3 linked regions of the Pelodiscus sinensis genome follow. The protein of the gene in region 1 purifies or fractionates together with the protein of each later gene. This does not show direct contact. Links are inferred from orthologs where the notes say so. Each region holds a gene or a part of one and is shown in the gene's direction. Other genes may lie near its edges.

Region 1 (5,924 bases):
CCCGGGATTTGAATTTCCCAGGCTTCATTTGCATAAAGCCGGCCGGCGCCATTTTTAAATGCCGGCTAGTTCGGACCCCGTGCCACGCGGCTACACGCACGGACTAGCTAGTTCGGATTAGGCTTCCTAATCCGAACTAGCTGTACACCTCGTTCCACACCTCGTACCTGCTCTTACCCTAGACACCCTGTGCTGAGCCACCTCTCTGGCCCAGTTCAGGGAAGCCCTGCAGTCAGGTTCCCTATGCTTTGATGCTCAATACATCCTTAGGGCTTAACTCCTTCCTGCCAGAACTGTAACCAGGGGACAGGAGGTGACTGGGTTATGTAGGTGGCCAGTGGCAGTTTAGAGGTGTGAACTGCCTTTCTGCACTATGCTGGCAGGAAGGCACAAGCTGCTTCTAGCCACAGAGAAGCAGTGTGTGGGGGGGAGATGACCTGTGAAAAAACATGGGCCAGGTCATCCCTGTCTTCCCTCCCCATTTCCCTTCAGCTGGAAGCAGCTCCCATTCATTCCCTCCTGCACAGGGATGAAAGGCTGCTACTGGTGTGAACTGTGACAGAGGTTTGGGGAGGGGCCTGTGACCCTTCATTTCCTTCCCCCCCCCCCTCCCACATGTTGCCTTGAAAAGAGGTGGATCCATCCTGGCAGCCCAGCCAGTGTATACAGTACTGTGCAGGGAGGCTTGCATCAGGCTGGTTACTCACCCCTATCCCTGTGAATCATAGAATCATAGAGCTGGAAGAGACCTCAGAAGGTCATCAAGTCCAGCCCCCTGCTCTAGGCAGGACCAATTCCAACTAAATCAACCCGGCCAGGGCTTTGTCAAGCCGAGACTTAAACACCTCTAGGGATGGAGACTCCACTACTTCCCTAGATAACCCATTCCAGTGCTTCACCACCCTCCTAGTGAAATAGTTTTTCTTAATATCCAACCTGGACCTCTTCCACCACAACTTGAGACCATTGCTCCTTGTTCTGCCATCTGTCACTACTGAGAACAGCCTCTCTCCATCCTCTTTGGAAGCTCCCTTCAGGAAGTTGAAGGCTGCTATCAAATCTCCCCTCACTCTTCGCTTCTGCAGACTAAACAGACCCAAGTCCCTCAGCCTCTCATCATAAGTCATATGCTCCAGCCCCCTAATCATTTTGGTTGCCCTCCGCTGGACCCTCTCCAATGCGTCCACATCCTTTTTGTAGTGGGGGGCCCAGAACTGGATATAATACTCTAGATGCGGCCTCACCAAAGCCGAATAAAGGGGAAGGATGTCTGTGTCAGAGAGGTTACGGGACTGTGTGTGTCACAGTCAAACCTTACAGATAAGGAGGTAAATAAAAAGATTCCAGCCACACAGCATTTCTTTTTCATAGGAGTGCAGTCAACTTGATGTTAATTTGAACGTGTGTACTGCATAGTTCTGCTTGCCACTGACCTCACTTGAATATGAGTAATTTTACCAGGTGTCCCTTATCCAACATAGGGAAATATGGTCACCTTATATGGTACCACTGATGCTGCTAGAGGAAATGAGTGTGCCCCTGCCTCACTCCACACAAAATGGAAGGAGAGGTAGTAGTGCACTCCTCACCCTCTTAGCCCAATGGTTAGAGCATTTTCCTGGGATGTGAGATCCATTTTGAATCCTTCCCCCTCTGGGATGGGGGGATATTGACCCTGTCTCCCACCTTGCAGGTAATTGCTTTAATCACTGGGCTAAAAGTACAAGCTGGGTATCACTTTGTTTTCCCCTCCACCCCTCCGAATTTTGAATGGACTCAATTCAGTAGGTGGCTTCTGAGCTTGTCAGCTGGATCAAGCCCTACATCCAATTAATTGCTCTGGGGCACAGGCCTGTGGATGCCCAGTCTGCAATACAGGGGAACTTTCACTTTAAAAATGTAGGTGCCAAGTGAGTTTTGGTACCTAAGAGTTCAGTTTATTTATGCAGTGGAGCCAAAATTGCAACTAGGTGACAAAACACCTTGGTGGATCCCGGCCCTTGGGTCTCCTCTGAGCACACTGGCTAAATCCAGCCATTTTAATATGCCACCCAAAGCTTTCTATCTGGAAAAAATAAAAGGAATGGGGTGGGAGGGAATGACCAGGAAACCCATCACCCTAAAGCAAGCACAAGCTGCGGGGTGCCTGAGCGGTGACCTCCTGGACTGGTTGACTGTAGCACTGGGGTAAGGGCTGTGGCTGCTTAAGGCTGCCACGCTGGGCTCCACAAACAACCCCGTGCACGCTCCAGCTCACGGCCATGACTACCTGGGGCCGGTAATTTCCCGGGGAAGGCTCCGCAGAGTCAGGGGCGGGATCCTGCCTCACCTGTGCCCTGTTCTAACCACTAGCCCGCTCTGCCTGGGGCCGCGCTAGCCCGAGACGCCCCCGCCCCTCGCTGCCGGGGAGAGCAGATGGCTCGGGGGGGGCCACCCCGCCCTCCCGGCTGGGCACAGGGGGGCGCCGAGCGACCCAGCCGGCGTCCGGGGCAGGTGCCGCCCGGTGCCCAGCCCCGCGCGCGGCAGAGGGAGGGGCTGCGCTGTGCCCACCCCCGTGCCCTGGATGGGGAGGCGCCTGCCTGCGGTGCGCCCGTGTTTACAGGAGCAGCGGCCGCCGCGCCGGTACCTGCCGCGCCGGAGCACCTGGGGGCGGGCCGGGCGCTCGGGCCGGGGCGGAGCAACACCCCCCGCCCCGCCGCGGCGGTGCCAGGCTGGGCCGGGAGCGGCAGGAGCGGAGCCACCCCCGAGCGGCCGGAGCCGCGCTGGAAATGGAGGCGTGAGGGGAGCCCGCGCCGGGATCTCCGGCTCCCCCGGGCGTAGGATGTGACTCCCGCCGCGTCCTCCTCGCAGCGCCTGGGCGGGTCGCCGCTGCCCCAGGCCCCGGGCCTTGCAAGGGGGGGCCGCCCCCCAGCCCGGCTGCTCCTGCCGGCGCCAGGCGCGGGGCTGGGCGCTGCATGGGGCGGCTCAGGCCGGCCTGGAGAAGATGCCAAGGAAGGAGCTGCCTCTGCCAGCGGGCTGGGAGGAGGCCCGGGACTTCGACGGGAAAGTCTATTACATCGACCACACCAGCCAAAGCACCAGCTGGATCGACCCGCGGGACAGGTATGAGGCCGGACCGGTTGGACGCGCCCGCGCTGCCTGTCGGGGCAGCCAGGCAGGTGCAGGGCGAGAGGCGTTTGCTCCGCCGCGCAGGGCAGGGGCAGCGCCGGAGCACAAAGAGCCTGATGCTAACGAGCACTGGCTCCTTGGACCCCCCCGACGGCTGGCCCGGGAGAGGGCTGGGGGGTGCGTGTGCTCAGCCTCTGTTGCTGCAGTTGCCAGTGGCGCAGACCAAAGAGGCCTCCTGACCAAGATGTGTAACAGCCCCCAGCGCTGGGTGCACGTTTACATTGATTCCCCCCAAACCACTTCTCTTTGCGGAGGGAGCTCTCTCCACTGCATAGGCTATAGCGGCTCGTAACTTCAGCGTTAGGGGGCAAGAGGCTGGACAAAACTACTTTGAATTTTGCTTGAGCCGCACAATCTTTTCTCGGGTCACTGCTAGGTTGGAAGGTGACTCGTACTGACTTTCATAGTGGGGAAACTGCATGTTGCTCTGTAGACCAGAAAGTATTTTCGGGGACTCTTAGTGCTAGTCTGGATAAAGTGTTTAGTAAACAAGTGATTTGATTTTGATTGATGAATAAATGCATCGATCAATTCATAAATATGGTTGGTACCATAATACCTGTTAGGACTAAATTCTCTGTACCTTTCAATGTGTGGGATAAGGATTTAGATTCATAGGTGTGTGTGTTGCTACCTCTGCTGAGGAAAGGCTAATTCACACAGCTGATGTTTAACTGAATAATATCAAGGTCTTACCTGATTCAGTCAGATGTACCCGGAAAGAGGACCTTTACTGTTTCAAATGTTTCCATGCTGTCCCTAGCCTAACTGGAACACCGTCCCATCCCAAGCATGCAATTTGACTCCATTGAGATTATTCAGTTTATTGTTTTTGATGGAAGAGAAGGAGTTCCCCTAACTCTGGCTACTAAGGGCAATCATTATAATGTTCGTTTTTGCCCCCTAAGCCATAAAAAAGTGACTTCTTACATTTTGACTTGTAAGTAGACCACCTGCATTATAATATATTCACAATATAAAGTGTGTCCTGGAAATGTCCTGGTTGCTTTAAGTTTGTCAGATGATCAAGAGTCTGCAGTTTTGGGCCAACTTCTGCAGGTGCAACCTGTCATTATTATATTTGCACTGCTGACACTCAAGATTTGACTTTAGCCTTTTGTTTAGTTGTGTTACACTGCCACTTAGCTTGCCACTGTTTAACAGCTACTTGGTAACCATTAGAATGTTAATGGAAGTGAGAGACATCCCTTGACTGATGTCATGACCTTCTATTTGTCCTGTATGCTATAATGAACCTCTTACTCAGTTCTCTTATGTCTCTATCTTCCCTGTGTTTCCCTTCTAACCTGTTTACAATCCTTGCACTGTCTTTAAAAACTCTTTAAAACATGCTTCTGCCATGTCTAGAAATCATTTCTTTTTGGCATTGGTAGGGAAAGTAGTCAGTTTTGTCACTGTTTTGGTTTCCTCACCCTTCCATCCATCCCTCAAACCTAGACTGTAAATTCTCTGTGGCAGGGACTCTCTTTGTTGCATGATGTTCAGTATCTAGCATGATGGGGTTCTGATCCTTGACTGTGGTTTCTAAGTGGCATTATAAATATTTGGGCAAAGAGTCCTTGTTCTGGCTCTTGTTTCCCATTTCGTTTCACAGAAGAGTCTTGTCCCCTTTGTTACTTCAGGGCTCTTGCAGATCTGACATAGACACTAATCTTCTTATCAAGCATGTTGAAATTATTATTTGGATTGTAGTAACATTCAAAGACTCGAATCACGATTGGGATCAAATTGTGGTGTGCTCTACAAACACCTAGAGACTTTTGGACAGAGACTATGGATCTAAGATCAGTGCTGTAGTATATTAGTGCTGTATTACGACATGTTCTATGTTTTGACCCATCTTTTTAAAACAAAATATCATGACCTAAATTCCTATTAACATTCTCATAGGTCCTACAATTGACTAACTGCTCTGATTCTGTTATTTTCATTCTAACTCATCTGATGAAGTCGAAAGCTCATGATCCAATATATTTTTGTTAGTCTCTGAGGTGCCGCAGAATTTGTTTTTAAATTCCCATCGGATATTCATGGAGTTAGTCATGTCCCATAGTGCTTCTCTGATCATTCTTATATCTCCTTGTATTACTGCTCAGTTTCCTTCTTGACCCACTTTACTTTGAAGTGTGCACTATTATTCTTTTGATCATTATTATAAATTATGCTCAAGATATTAAAAGCATCTGCTGTGAGTCACCATACCAGTTACTTTTTGAATGTTCTGTCAACTTAGGTCTCCTTAAAAAATTGCAGTTAAAATTATCAGCATGTGATCAATTCAGTTTTCTTGCTAATCTGTAGAAATGTCACTGAAACTGTCAATTATACTGTTTCTTTAGGAGATCATGTGAAGAGACAGATTTTTAACACATTTTAATTGTACAATTACTGCAACTGAAGAGACTTGTGCCTCAAAATACTATGTTAACACTTCTAAAATGCTAAAGTGATCTAAATTTATAAAATTGTACACTATGTGAAACTTTGCTGAAGTTTCAGGATTCTTGGACTTACTTACATTTTTTTTAAAGAAATTCATAGTCCAAAACAACTATAACAAGCATAAGGTGTCTCAGAATGTTACTGTAATAATTTTAAATAGTTAAATGGAGTCTGTCTTGTGTGGTAATTAGAAGTCTGTTTCTAGTTAACTTTTGTAATTGATTATTTCCCCCCCAACAATTGATTCTTTGTTTAAGCTTTTCCATTATATTTGTTGGAATTAAGATGGCCAC
Region 2 (5,924 bases), on another chromosome or scaffold:
ACCAAAGGATACAATTAAAAAAAATGAACACATATGAAAAGGACAAATCTCATTTCAGAACAGAAGAGGGATGTGTGGGGGGGGGGGGGGGCGAAGGAAGGAAGGTAAGTGTCTGTGAATTAATGATATTAGAGGTGGGGAAAGTTAGATGTCTGTGAGCTACCATTACATTTTTTTTAATTGTATCCTTTGGTATATATGGTTGTGACTATTTTCTTCCACTATTTGATCTGAGGAAGTGGGTCTGGCCCACGAAAGCTCATCATCTAATAAACCATCTTGTTAGTCTTTAAAGTGCTACATAGTCCTGCATTTTGCTTCAGCTACACCAGACTTACATGGCTAAATTTCTATTACTACAGGTAGTCCCCGGGTTACGTACCAGATAGGGACTGTAGGTTTGTTCTTAAGTTGAATCTGTATGTAAGTCGGAACTGGCGTCCAGATTCAGCCGCTGCTGAAACTGATCAGTTTCAACAGCGGCTGAATCTGGACGCCAGTTCTGACTTACATACAGATTCAACTTAAGAACCCCAGGCATCCCCAAGTTAGCTGCTGCTGAAACTGATTAGCGGCTGATTCCAGGAAGCCCGGGGCAGGGGCTTCCTGTAGTCAGCCACTGGTCAGTTTCAGCAGCGGCTGACTTGGGGACGCCTGGGGCAGAGCAGCTGGGGTGCTACTGGGTTGGTCCAGTAGCACCAAGGAGCGGTGCTGCGGGACCAACCGGCAGCGCCCCACCTGCTCTACCACAGGCCTGGGGCTTTGCTCCACGTCTTCCTGGTCTGCTGGAGGGGGGAGGGGGACCACTAGCTGCGCCCCCCCCAGCAGACCAGGGACACGGGGAGCAAAGCCGCAGGGGCGGTGGGTCTGCCTCCCCGGCTTTGCTCCAGGTGTCTCTGGTCTGCTGGAGACGGTCCCCAGCAGACCAGAGGCACCGGGAGCAAAGCGGCAGCGGCAGTGGAGTCTCGTGCCTCTGAGGCTTTGCCAGAGCAAAGCCTCAGAGGCGCGGGACCCCTCCGCCTCCCCAGCTTTGCTCCCGGTGTCCCTGGTCTGCTGGAGATGGTCCCCAGCAGACCAGGGGCACCCGGAGCAGCTTTTCTCGCCCCGGAGGTCGAGGTGGCGGGACCGCTGCGCTCTGGGCAGTCCCACTGCCTGCGAGCTCTGGGGCGAGAGAGCCCCGTTCGTAAGTGCGGATCCGACATAAGTCGGATCCACGTAACTCGGCGACTGCCTGTATTGTGAACACAGTGAGGCTTGGAATCATTTAGGGGCAGTGAGTTTTATGGGTTTAAAGCTACACTAATTCAGATAAGTGATTTTGAAACTGAAACTTTTTAAATATAAGTAGCAAATTTCATAATCAGGCAACAACAGAAATCACTGTGTATGGATGCTGCCCTTAATCACATTTGCTTCTGAGCAATTTTTATGGTGCTGATGATGGAAAAAAAATGTTGGTAGTACTTGATGGGCACATACTGACCTTTTACTGGAGAAATACTGAGAAAACTGCTACATAAAGAGAATTTTTTTATTGCTCCACCACAGTCTAGAGACATAACAAGAATGGCACAGCATCTGCTGTGCTGTGCTGTGTTGTGTTGTCAGTAGAGCTAGATGGATGAGACAGGACTGTGGAGTGCAGCTACCTACAAAACATGAATGATAGCTGAAGCCATACCTGCAAACATCTACATAGCTTATTCTGACCTGCATGAATAATTAAGATTAAAATGTTTGTTTAAAAAGCTATTTCTAGTTTCTTTTCTCCCACAGGCCAAATTGGATTCCACAATCTCAAATGTAAAATATAAGCATTTAGATTTCATGTGCAATCTACTAAGTGCAAATTTCAACCTTCTGAAGTTGTAGCTTTCCTCAAATTGAATAAAATCGGGGGAAGAGCTTTTATGGTCAGAGGGAGAGAGAGGGTGTGTGTAAGTAATGCCTAAAACAACACTATGAGCAGCCAAGAGTGAATTGGACACCCTCTGCCTTAGCCTAACATCAGTCACTCAAGCAAAAGGTTGCTTTTTGTCTAGAGAAAAGACTATGGCAGGGGTGGTTATTTTAAATAGGGCTCACAACGCATTGGGATCTGGGCTGAGAACCCTGAATGCAGCAGCGGAATCTCGTCTTCCCTGGGGACCTTTCGGGGGGTGGGTGCCATGGTGAGAGAACTACACTTCCCAGAAGACGTTGCAGCGGGTTCCCACAGCGGGGCATGCTGGGAATTGTAGTTGGAGCAGCCTAGTGAAAGTTAATCCCCGAAGCGGCGTCAGGCAGTTCCCAGAGCTCCTCGGTGTGTCTCATTGTCGTGCCGCCTTGGTCACCTCTAGGGGGAGCGGCGCAAGATGGATGAGTGGGCGGCTGCTGGGGCAGGTGCCCACGGGGTAAGCACATGGGGCACTGCCCCCCAGGGTGCGTGGGGGGGATGATCTACCCGGCACACGAGGGCACCTTGCGCAGTCCCGCGGCTGCCGGTGCAGGCGAGCTCCGCCCCGGGGCTGTGGCTGCCGGGAGGCAGCGCGGCTTGTGTGCCGGGCACAGGGCGTTCTGCAGGGAGCGGCTCAGCAGCGCCGGGAAGGAAAAGGCGCCGCAGGAGCTTCTCCGCCGCTGCCCTTTGAACTGCTTTGTAGCCACTAACAAAGGGCAGGGGCGGGCTGGTTGCGCCGCTTCGCCCTGCCGCGGGGCTTTACTCTCCAGGACGTTTGCGGAGACGGATTTGTGGCTCTAGCTCCCTCCACTCGGCAACCGGGAGAAACAAAACCTGCGGGATCCCCCCTCCCCCACCGGAGCCAAGAAGGGGGGGGGGGGCTGGCTTTACCCTGCTGCCCATCTCGTCCCCCCTCTGCTCCTTCCCCAGAGTCCACTGACTCCCCGCAGTTGACGGAGGGGGCTGCCCTCCCCTTCTGCCCCCCATCTGCACCGGAGCCAAAGTACTGAGAGAGGTGCAGGCTGGCTTCATTCACTCCTCTGCACTCTCTGTATGGCTCCAAAGGAGCTGTCTCCCCCCCCACCCCCCATTGAGAGACGGGATGTCTCCCCTCTCTTCCCCTCCTCTCCTTTTACACACCAGAGAAAGGAGCTGTGGGGTGTGTTTTTGTGGCTGGGGCGCTTGGAGACCTATGTTTAGTTCTTGGCTCTACCACAGATTCCTTTTATGATCGGGGAGGGGGGGGAGGCTGCGGCATTCATTAGTATCTGTGTGTACTAATACAAGAGGAGTGGGGGCATCGATCGGATAGAGGAAAGGACCCCACCTCCAGCTTACTTTATGGCCCAGAGAGAGCCCCCTTCCCCATCACCAAAGTGAGGGACTGTCCTGTTCTACCTGGATCCACAGCTCCAAACCTGTAGCATCTGCATAAAGATTTTGCTCCCTTTCCCTGTCCGCTATGGCCTCATTAAATTTGGAAGAGAGTAAGTGAATCCATATCCCTTGTCTGGGATGTGTTGCGAGGACAAGCTTTTCACTCAGTCTGCAATAATCCCAGCAGAGGCAGTAGGTCTAGTATTCTGCCACTTCCTGCAAATCACATGTAGCTCCACAAATTTATTTCTGTTTTTTAACAAGTGTAGGGATCCTGCTAATCACTGCAGCCATGGGCAGGGTCTGGGCCTAGTGATCTTGGAGGCCAGGCACTGAGGTGATGGCAAATCAGGAGAATATAAAGGTTGGGAGTCTGTCTCTGTTAAACCTATTAAATATCCACTATAAGCCTGACCTTGTAATCCAAGCACAGGGAGGGAATAAATCCCATTAATTTAAGTGAGCATTAAGAGCTAGATCTTGGGTTCTGTGGAAGCATAGCTCATAAAGTGGACTGAAGGTGGGTTTAAACTTTCTATGTTGGGCACAGCCAGGAACAGATAGACCCTTAACATCAGTTGGAGCAGCCCATAGTTCCCACAGCAGTAGCTTCCTAGGATCTGTTCTACTAGTGGATAATGCCTGCTGCACAAGTCTCTCAGTAATGCTCCTTTCTCCTGCAGCTTCCTATATTGGAGGAATCCTCAGCTGCATGGCTTACATATCTCAAAGGGATCAGAGCAGAGACCAAAGTGCGGGGTTTAAACTTCCTCTGTGTCACTTCACATAAATACACATCTGACAAAGCGTTTTTTTAACCAAGAAAGCTTATGCTATGGATGTTAAAAAGTGGTTAATTAGGTAACCATGTAACCACTGAAAATTCTCAGCAGTTACATGATTACACTGCAGGCTCTGCAGTGTAAAGCTTATACTGCAGAGCCCCAAAGCACAACTGGCTCCTTGGGAGCAGAGCTGGCTGGCCCCACTCCTGGGGAGCTGGCAGCGCTGCAGACTTTGCAGTATAAGCTTTAAAATGCAGCCGGCTCCCTGGGCATACTGGCTTTTAAGCCGGCTCCCAGTGCATACTGGCTCCTGCCAGCTGGCCTGCTGCCATCCTGCATTGCAGGCTCTGATACAGAGCGAGCAGCACAGGGTGGCAACCAGCTCCCCAGGAATGGGGCGGAGAACCTGCATGTAACCGTTAACGGTAACTGATAAGCCTAGGCTTATCAGTTTAAATTATGGTACTATTACATCCCTAGCTTCTACACAAATAAATTTGTTAGTCTTTAAGATGCTACAGGACTCCTCATTGTTTTTGCAGATACAGACTAACAGGGCTACCCCTCTGAGATTTCACACACAAAAAATCGGTTTACTCTTAACAAAGATCCTAATTTCAGTCCCAAAATGGTATGAGAGAAACAAGAGATATGACTTTTTTGGGGAAGGAAAGCGTCTGTTTTAATTTTATTTTTATTCCAATATATAATAATAAATGGTAATACCTAGATTTTACTAGCACTTTTCATCAATAGATCTCGAAGTGCTTTAAAGAACAAGTATTAAGAATGCCTGTTGCAGGCTCTGAACAGATAATTAAGAAAACAATCCAATAATGAAAGCAGCAGTGGCAAACCACAAAAAGCTAGTTCATATAACCACAATTTCCACACCCCTCAAATAAAATTCCATACCTCCAGTACAGGCAGTCCCCGACTTACGCGGATCTGACTTACGTCAGATCCGCACTTACGAACGGGGCTTTCTCGCCCCGGAGATTGAGGTGGCAGATTGCTACCTGCGAGCTCCGGGCGAGAAAGCCCCGTTCGTAAGCTGCTCCGGTGCCCCTGGTCTGCTGGAGACCGTCTCCAGCAGACCAGGGACACTGGGCGGGTTCCCGCGCTTCTGAGGCTTTGCTGACCAGCGCTGACTACAGGAAGCCCGAGGCAGAGTTGCTCTGCCCCAGGCTTCCTGGAATCAGCCGCTGATCAGTTTCAGCAGCAGCTGACTTGGGGAAGCTTGGGGTTCTTAAGTTGAATCTGTATGTAAGTCAGAACTGGCGGTCAGTTTCAGCAGCGGCTGAATCTGGACGCCAGTTCCGACTTACATACAGATTCAACTTAAGAACAAACCTACAGTCCCTATCTTGTACGTAACCCGGGGACTGCCTGTATCCCCCAAATCTCAGTTCTCCTCAAACATTTACTTAAATCAAAGAGCTTTGTGGTGTGCCTTGTAGATCAATGTATTTAGGTTATTACCGGCTAAAGGAAAGGGAGCTGGGGAGTGAATTCCAAGGAGGGGCCTTGTGGGAAGGAATGTTCTGTCAGTTGGTCCCTTATCAAATTTCTGTTGTTTGAATAAATAGCTGAATGTTAGGGAGCTTATTAGAACCTGGAGTCTGAACCTGTCAGACCTGGGTCTACTTCTGTTATTTAAAAAAAGAGATTGCCCAGAATTGGAACTTAGAATCTAAATTCAGTTTATCATTTAAGATGAGGGAAACTTAGTGAAGAATGCTGGGCGAACATCTTATAAGTTCAGCATGTAACACTTTGCTATAAATTATCTGAATTCTCCTGTGTCAGCCTCAAACCCAAACTCT
Region 3 (5,924 bases), on another chromosome or scaffold:
TTTTAGCAAACAAGGGCTCTTTATAGGTGTAAAAACATTGTGATTTTCATTATTTAAATACGCAACACCTGCAAAACTCTATACATATCTGGGGAATTATATGCAGGGTCTACATATTCTTAACACTAGTTCACTCGTAACGGATTCATCATCTTAGCAGAAGCTGCAGCCTGGTACAGTGTGCTCCAATCATGCTCCTCAGCCAACCTTAGAGCAGAATGACCCTTCCTCATTTACCAATAGTTATTTCTTGCATAAGATTCCCATCTGTGATACTCCATCACATGTCTGGGGGGGACCGCAGGGTTTCCTCTGTGGTTTCTCTTGCAAACAACGGGTGCATGTGGCGCCAGCATTGCCAGTAGCCAGGGGCTACGTCTACACTGGCCCCTCTTCCGGAAGGGGCATGTAAATTTCAAGAGTCGTCGTAGGGAAATCCGCGGGGGATTTAAATATCCCCCGCGGCATTTAAATAAAAATGTCCGCCGCTTTTTTCCGGCTTTTAAAAAAGCCGGAAAAAAGCGTCTAGACTGGCCCCGATCCTCCGGAAAAAGTGCCCTTTTCCGGAGGCTCTTATTCTTACTTTGAAGTAAGAATAAGAGCCTCCGGAAAAGGGCGCTTTTTCCGGAGGATCGGGGCCAGTCTAGACGCTCTTTTCCGGCTTTTTTAAAAGCCGGAAAAAAGCGGCGGACATTTTTATTTAAATGCCGCGGGGGATATTTAAATCCCCCGCGGATTTCCCTACGACGACTCTTGAAATTTACATGCCCCTTCCGGAAGAGGGGCCAGTGTAGACGTAGCCAGGGAGTATTTCATCTACTCCCTCTGCAGGAGCCCAGCAAATAATTGGCCATGAGCAGAAAGAACTGGTTGCAGCTGGATTCTCCAGTGTCCTTCCCCTGGATAAGAGTGGCTCCTCACCAGATGTGAAAGTAAGGCTGTGTACTGCTGTGCGGGCAAGAGTCAGCTGGGACAATCTGCCGAACGCTCCGCTATAGGGGTGCGCAATGCAGCATGTTCACGGAGCTGGGCTCCCATGGTTTCTGCAGTGGGCTGGCACTTGTGCTCCCGCACATGCAGCTACGTGAGGCAGGCATGTGTGAAGGGGGCTGCATGGGAACACGCTGTCAGGGTGGGGTTCGAGCTCCCAGCCACAGTCTTAGTGCATTCATGCCTGTCCTGCTGCCCCTCTCTTGCTGGATGCTGAGCAGCACACATGCATGCACTGCTGCCAGCAGCCACTGGGAAAAAGCCAGGGGAAAGGAGCACAGGCCAGGGGGTCTCTAACACTGCTATGGGTTTCCCTACAGCAGCGCTGCCGCACAGCCAGCGCACAGCTCAACTTGTGGCAGCGCAGGGAACAGGAGCAGCAGGCAGGGACCTGTCCACCAGCCAGGAAAGGTGACCTGGCAGCAACTGGAACTGTCCAAGCCCTTCCACCCCCCCTCCCAGGCCCCTGTCCTAAGCCTCTTCCCACATCCCACAACCAAAGCCTCTGCCCTGGGCCTCTCATCATACCCCCTACACTTCCCACATTCCCAGTTCGCTGCTCTGACTCCTGCGCCATTCCAGACACCAGCCCTGCCCTGCCCTGAGTCCACACTTCAGCCCAAACTTATATTTCTTACAGGTCCAGACGCATGCACATCACAGCTCCCCACCCCCTGCCTGCCCTGAGCTCCCCTCCCCCCGGGTGTGTGACAGGGCAGTACCTGTAAGCCATTGAATTTACTGTTCCCCACACAAGAGAACGGGTGGGGGGAGGGGGGAGGAGCGGAGCTGGGAGCCCTTCACCTAGCACAGGGAAAGGAGCTGAGGGCAGGGAAGGAGAAGGAGGGAAGGGTGGATGCACCAGACAGCCGGAAGCGGGAGGACCAAGGGCCAGTCGCAATCCCGGGTGGCGGCAAAGCAGGGCAGAGAAGCAGGCCGGCCTCCCAAAGACATGGGCTGCCTCAGTGCCCGCTCCTCCGCCAAACCCACTGCGGACTGACTCAGCCCTTGCCTCCCCCGGGCTCGCTCAGCATTCCCGCCCCCCGCTCCCGGCCTGTCTCCACTGACTCGCGAGGAGGTGGCGCAGGGGGCTCCCCAGAAACCCGCGACACCCCTGCCGCCCGGGCCCGGGCAGCAGCCGGCGGGATTGGCAGGAGCCTGCCCCTCCTCTTCCTCCCTGGGACAGGCCTCGTCCCTCCTCTCGTGCGAGGGAAAACAAGCCGGAGAAAGCCCATGTCAAGTCCCCGCCGTCTCGGGCCCCGGCGGCGCAGCGGCCGCTCCGCATTCCTGGCATTCCAGGGCTGTGACTGCGCGCCCGGCCGCGGCTCCAGCCCCGCGCCGCACACAGCCGCGCCGGCCCGCTCCGGCTCCGCCGCCGCCCCCTGCCTCGCTCCTTCCCCCGCCCCCGGGCTGCCGCGGGAGCTCCCCTCCCGGCCGGGGCTTCCTGCCTCCGCCGCCCCAAACTCCCGCAAACTTTCCCCGCCGCGGCAGAGACAGGCGTAGCGCGCGGGGGCGGCGGAGCCCACAATCCAGACAGCCCCCCCGGTTCCCTCGCCTTGTGCCGCAATCAGCTCCTCTTCCCAGCGGCACCGGTTCCTACGCCCCCCCCCGCCCCGCGCCGCTTGGGATCAAGGCGGAAACCTCTTTCTCCACGCCGGGAAACCCACCCGGAGGTTTCGCTCGAAGGCTGAGCGGCTCTTGCTGCCGTTTCCCCGAAGAAGGGGGAGCCCGTTCCCAGCGCGCCGCGAGAGGAGAAGCTGCCTGGGCGTGTAAACGCAGGTAAGCAGCCGCGTTTCCTCAAGCGTGACTGGCTTGTGTGGAGTTAGCGCTCGGACTTGCTTATCCCGCGGATCGCAGCGCCGGAGCGAGAGTGACTTTTAAAACAAGGCTTGCCATAATTTATAGCGCGGGGGGGGGGGTATAGAAATCTGCCCCCATCTATTATAAAGTATCCTCCGTTGCAACGCAGTCCAGGACGCATTGTGTATATAATGCAAATATATTTAAACTGAAACTGCTGCGTGCTACAGATAAACTACCTGTTTGTGAATTTTAATAAAACAAGGCCACTCTGTGTAAATATAATTAGACAAGCCCTAATATGTAAGGAAAGCTGATGTTTCAATATAGGGTTTATAGAACCAATTAGGACAACCTTAGCCTTCTGCTGAGCTGCTTTCTATTTGGCAGGACTCTGTTCAGCTTCCAGGATCCTCCTCTCCTTTCATTTGCCCCACCCCAGCGGGATGGATTTACCTTGTTCTTTGTTAGCTATAAGCACTGTAACAAGTTAATCTATACTGGCCATTCCACTGGATAGCGAACGTTGTAACAAGTTGGGCAGAAATTCCTGTTATACAAGACTGTGTGGGGTATCCCTTCTCATTTCTCATGTTCCAAAGTTCCTGAATCTTAAAAAAGTCAAAAGTAGCCTCCTCACTAATTATAATCCATTTGGGATGTACATAAGGTATTGGGTGGGTGCGTGCCTGTGTGTATGTGCCTTAATATTTTTGCCCATCATGAACACTGTAGTTTTGGTTTGAGAAGTAATTCCATTATAAGCATCTTTCTGTTGCAGCTGTAACTTTAACTTCATAGAAACAAATAATACCTCAGAGGGGTAGCCGAGTTAGTCTGTAACTGGAAAAACTTAAAAAACAACAAAGGGTCTAGCACAGTGTAAAAGCCACAAAAGCCATCTAGTTTTTAGGAGACGTTTTTGCTGGAAATTGTCATTGTTTTCTGGTCTATTCTGACCATTCATTTGAAATTGTATCAAACTTTATAATGACATACAGACTCCACAGTTTGCTATTGCCCTTTAAGGAAGGTTGTAGCTGGCGAACCTTTTTTGGTTTGGGGGCCACTGACCCACAGAAAAATCAGTGAGGGGCTGCACACAAGTAAGAAACAACAACCACCCACTCTCTCTCTCTCTCTCTCTCTCTCTCTCTCTCTTTTTTCACCAGCATGGGCTCCCCAATGCTGGGGACAACTCTGATTGCCTTGAGGGCCAGATGAGGCAAGCTGGGGGCTGCATCTGGCCCCGGGCCTTAGGTTCCCCACCCCAGCTGTAGATCATAGCTAACATTGGACTACTTTAAAATATCAGGGGTTACTGTATTATGTGTGCATAGAATAGATTTAGGCATTGATCTGTAAATGACTGTGTAGATCCCTTGATTTTAGTGGATCTCTGCACTAACATAGTGGGTTTGCCTAGCTGAGTTTCTTGAAGGATTGGAGCCTAAACCTAAATCCAGTGGGCATGATTCAGAAGTTTTGAGCCATGCAAACTGCTGATTTTGGGCCCAGTCCTGAAGCTCTCATTCCAATGATAATCCTTTAAATCTGTGGAATAACTCATGGGTTTCCAAGCCTGCAATTACAACTTTATGGCCATATGCCCATGTAAAGGTCTGATGGTACAATTACATGGGCTCTGTCAAGTCTCACTGGAGGATCAGGGCCCATATGGGTGAATGCTGCAGGATGGAGCCATTAATACTGCTTCATGTATACAATGTGCCTAAAAAAGAAAACATTTAAAATCCGTGACTTTCAAATATTTGCATTCCCCTTGCCACAGCTAGTCTTAGTACAGTGGTGTTCCTTGAGCCGGGGTCTCAAACTCATGGGTCGCAGGCCATCTACAGCCCAGGCAGCTCCCCAGTCCAGCACATGAGTCCCTGTGGCCCTGGAGGGGTCAGTACCCTTCATCCCCCTCCTACTCTGCCTTGCCCCACTTCTTCCCACTCCTGCTCTTTCCTCTCCACCCATTACACCCCTTATCCCAAACACCTCCCCCGAGGGATGTGGCCTCTGGGATTACTAGGAGGCCTGGTGCAGGGTGGCATCAGGTGATCGGGCCCCTCTCTCCCTCCTGCATTGCAGGAAGCAAAGCGACTGGGCTAACCTGGGAGATGGTGACAGAGAGGAGCAGGCCGCTGCATCGCTCCACTTCCCTGCGGCTCCCACCATTGTGGTGAGTGCCGGGAAGCCTGACCCCAGCCGCCCCTCCCACAGGCTAACCTGAGTGTGAGGGATCAGACCATCTGTAGGAGGTTGGAATGGCCATGGGGGCCCACAAAGAGTGGAGCCCTGAGCAGCTTCCCCCACCCATCCTATGGATGGGATAGCTCTGCACACATGTCCCCAGACCACAGGGATGTCCTGACAGTGATGCAGAGCTTGCAACCAGAAGCTGCTCTAGCCCCTGCTGTACTGCTGCTGGTAGCAATGGAGGCCCCCGATGGGGTTTAAATTGCCCCAGGGTGGCAGGCAGGGCTGGGGAGCATGTGTCCTCTCCCACCCCTCCCAGGGCCCTGCCAGAGGCGTGTGCCCGCTGGCTCACTAGGAGGATTTGATGACTGGCATGGCCCTAAGGTAAAGTAATCTTCTTGGACAGGTCTCAGATTCAATTAGCCATTGTTGTTAATGGCTCTTCATGTATATCGCAGCTGGTCAATAAGTGCCAGTGGATGTTAAAAAGCATTTTTATAAACACGTAACTGCTGAATTTTTCAGTGGTTGCATTTTTACATACAGGGGGTGGGAGGCGGCTCCATGGGAACTGGTGCACATGAGGAGCTGGTTTGAAAGCTGGCTCCCTGTGAACACTGGCTCCTCTCCTGCCTGCCTGCACTGCTGCCTCTGATACAGTAGTAGCAGTACAGAAATGTGGGGCAGGTGGCTTGTGGGGAGCTGGCCCCATGAGCACCGGGTTCTGCCTCGGAAGCCAGTTCTCACAGGGACCCTGCTTAAAAGTTGGCTCCCTGCAAGCACTGGCTCCTGTCTGCAACCCCACCCTCGCCCTTGTGCTGGTGAGGAGATTTGCATGTAACTGTGATGGTGGTGGGGAGATTTACATGTAACTGTGAATATTAACCAATGAGCCCAGGCTCATTGATTAACCATTTAATTGTGTATAT

The links.
Region 2: the proteins of WWC1 (region 1) and AMOT purify together in Homo sapiens (affinity purification with mass spectrometry; 3 studies listed by BioGRID and IntAct, with this or other methods). This does not show direct contact. The link is inferred for Pelodiscus sinensis from reciprocal best matches to the Homo sapiens genes WWC1 and AMOT.
Region 3: the proteins of WWC1 (region 1) and PTPN14 purify together in Homo sapiens (affinity purification with mass spectrometry; 7 studies listed by BioGRID and IntAct, counting the BioPlex papers as one, with this or other methods). This does not show direct contact. The link is inferred for Pelodiscus sinensis from reciprocal best matches to the Homo sapiens genes WWC1 and PTPN14.

Annotation. Positions count from the first base shown.
Region 1 is NC_134727.1:8,391,119-8,397,042, reverse strand, and holds the start of WWC1 (protein KIBRA), read left to right. Parts: upstream 1-2,561; 5' UTR 2,562-2,983; coding exon 2,984-3,102; intron 3,103-5,924. UniProt on the Homo sapiens protein: Regulator of the Hippo signaling pathway, also known as the Salvador-Warts-Hippo (SWH) pathway.
Region 2 is NC_134723.1:26,616,831-26,622,754, forward strand, and holds the start of AMOT (angiomotin), read left to right. Parts: upstream 1-2,242; 5' UTR 2,243-2,393; intron 2,394-5,924.
Region 3 is NC_134713.1:149,087,391-149,093,314, reverse strand, and holds the start of PTPN14 (tyrosine-protein phosphatase non-receptor type 14), read left to right. Parts: upstream 1-1,816; 5' UTR 1,817-2,769; exon of another isoform or gene 2,770-2,789; intron 2,790-5,924. UniProt on the Homo sapiens protein: Protein tyrosine phosphatase which may play a role in the regulation of lymphangiogenesis, cell-cell adhesion, cell-matrix adhesion, cell migration, cell growth and also regulates TGF-beta gene expression, thereby modulating epithelial-mesenchymal transition.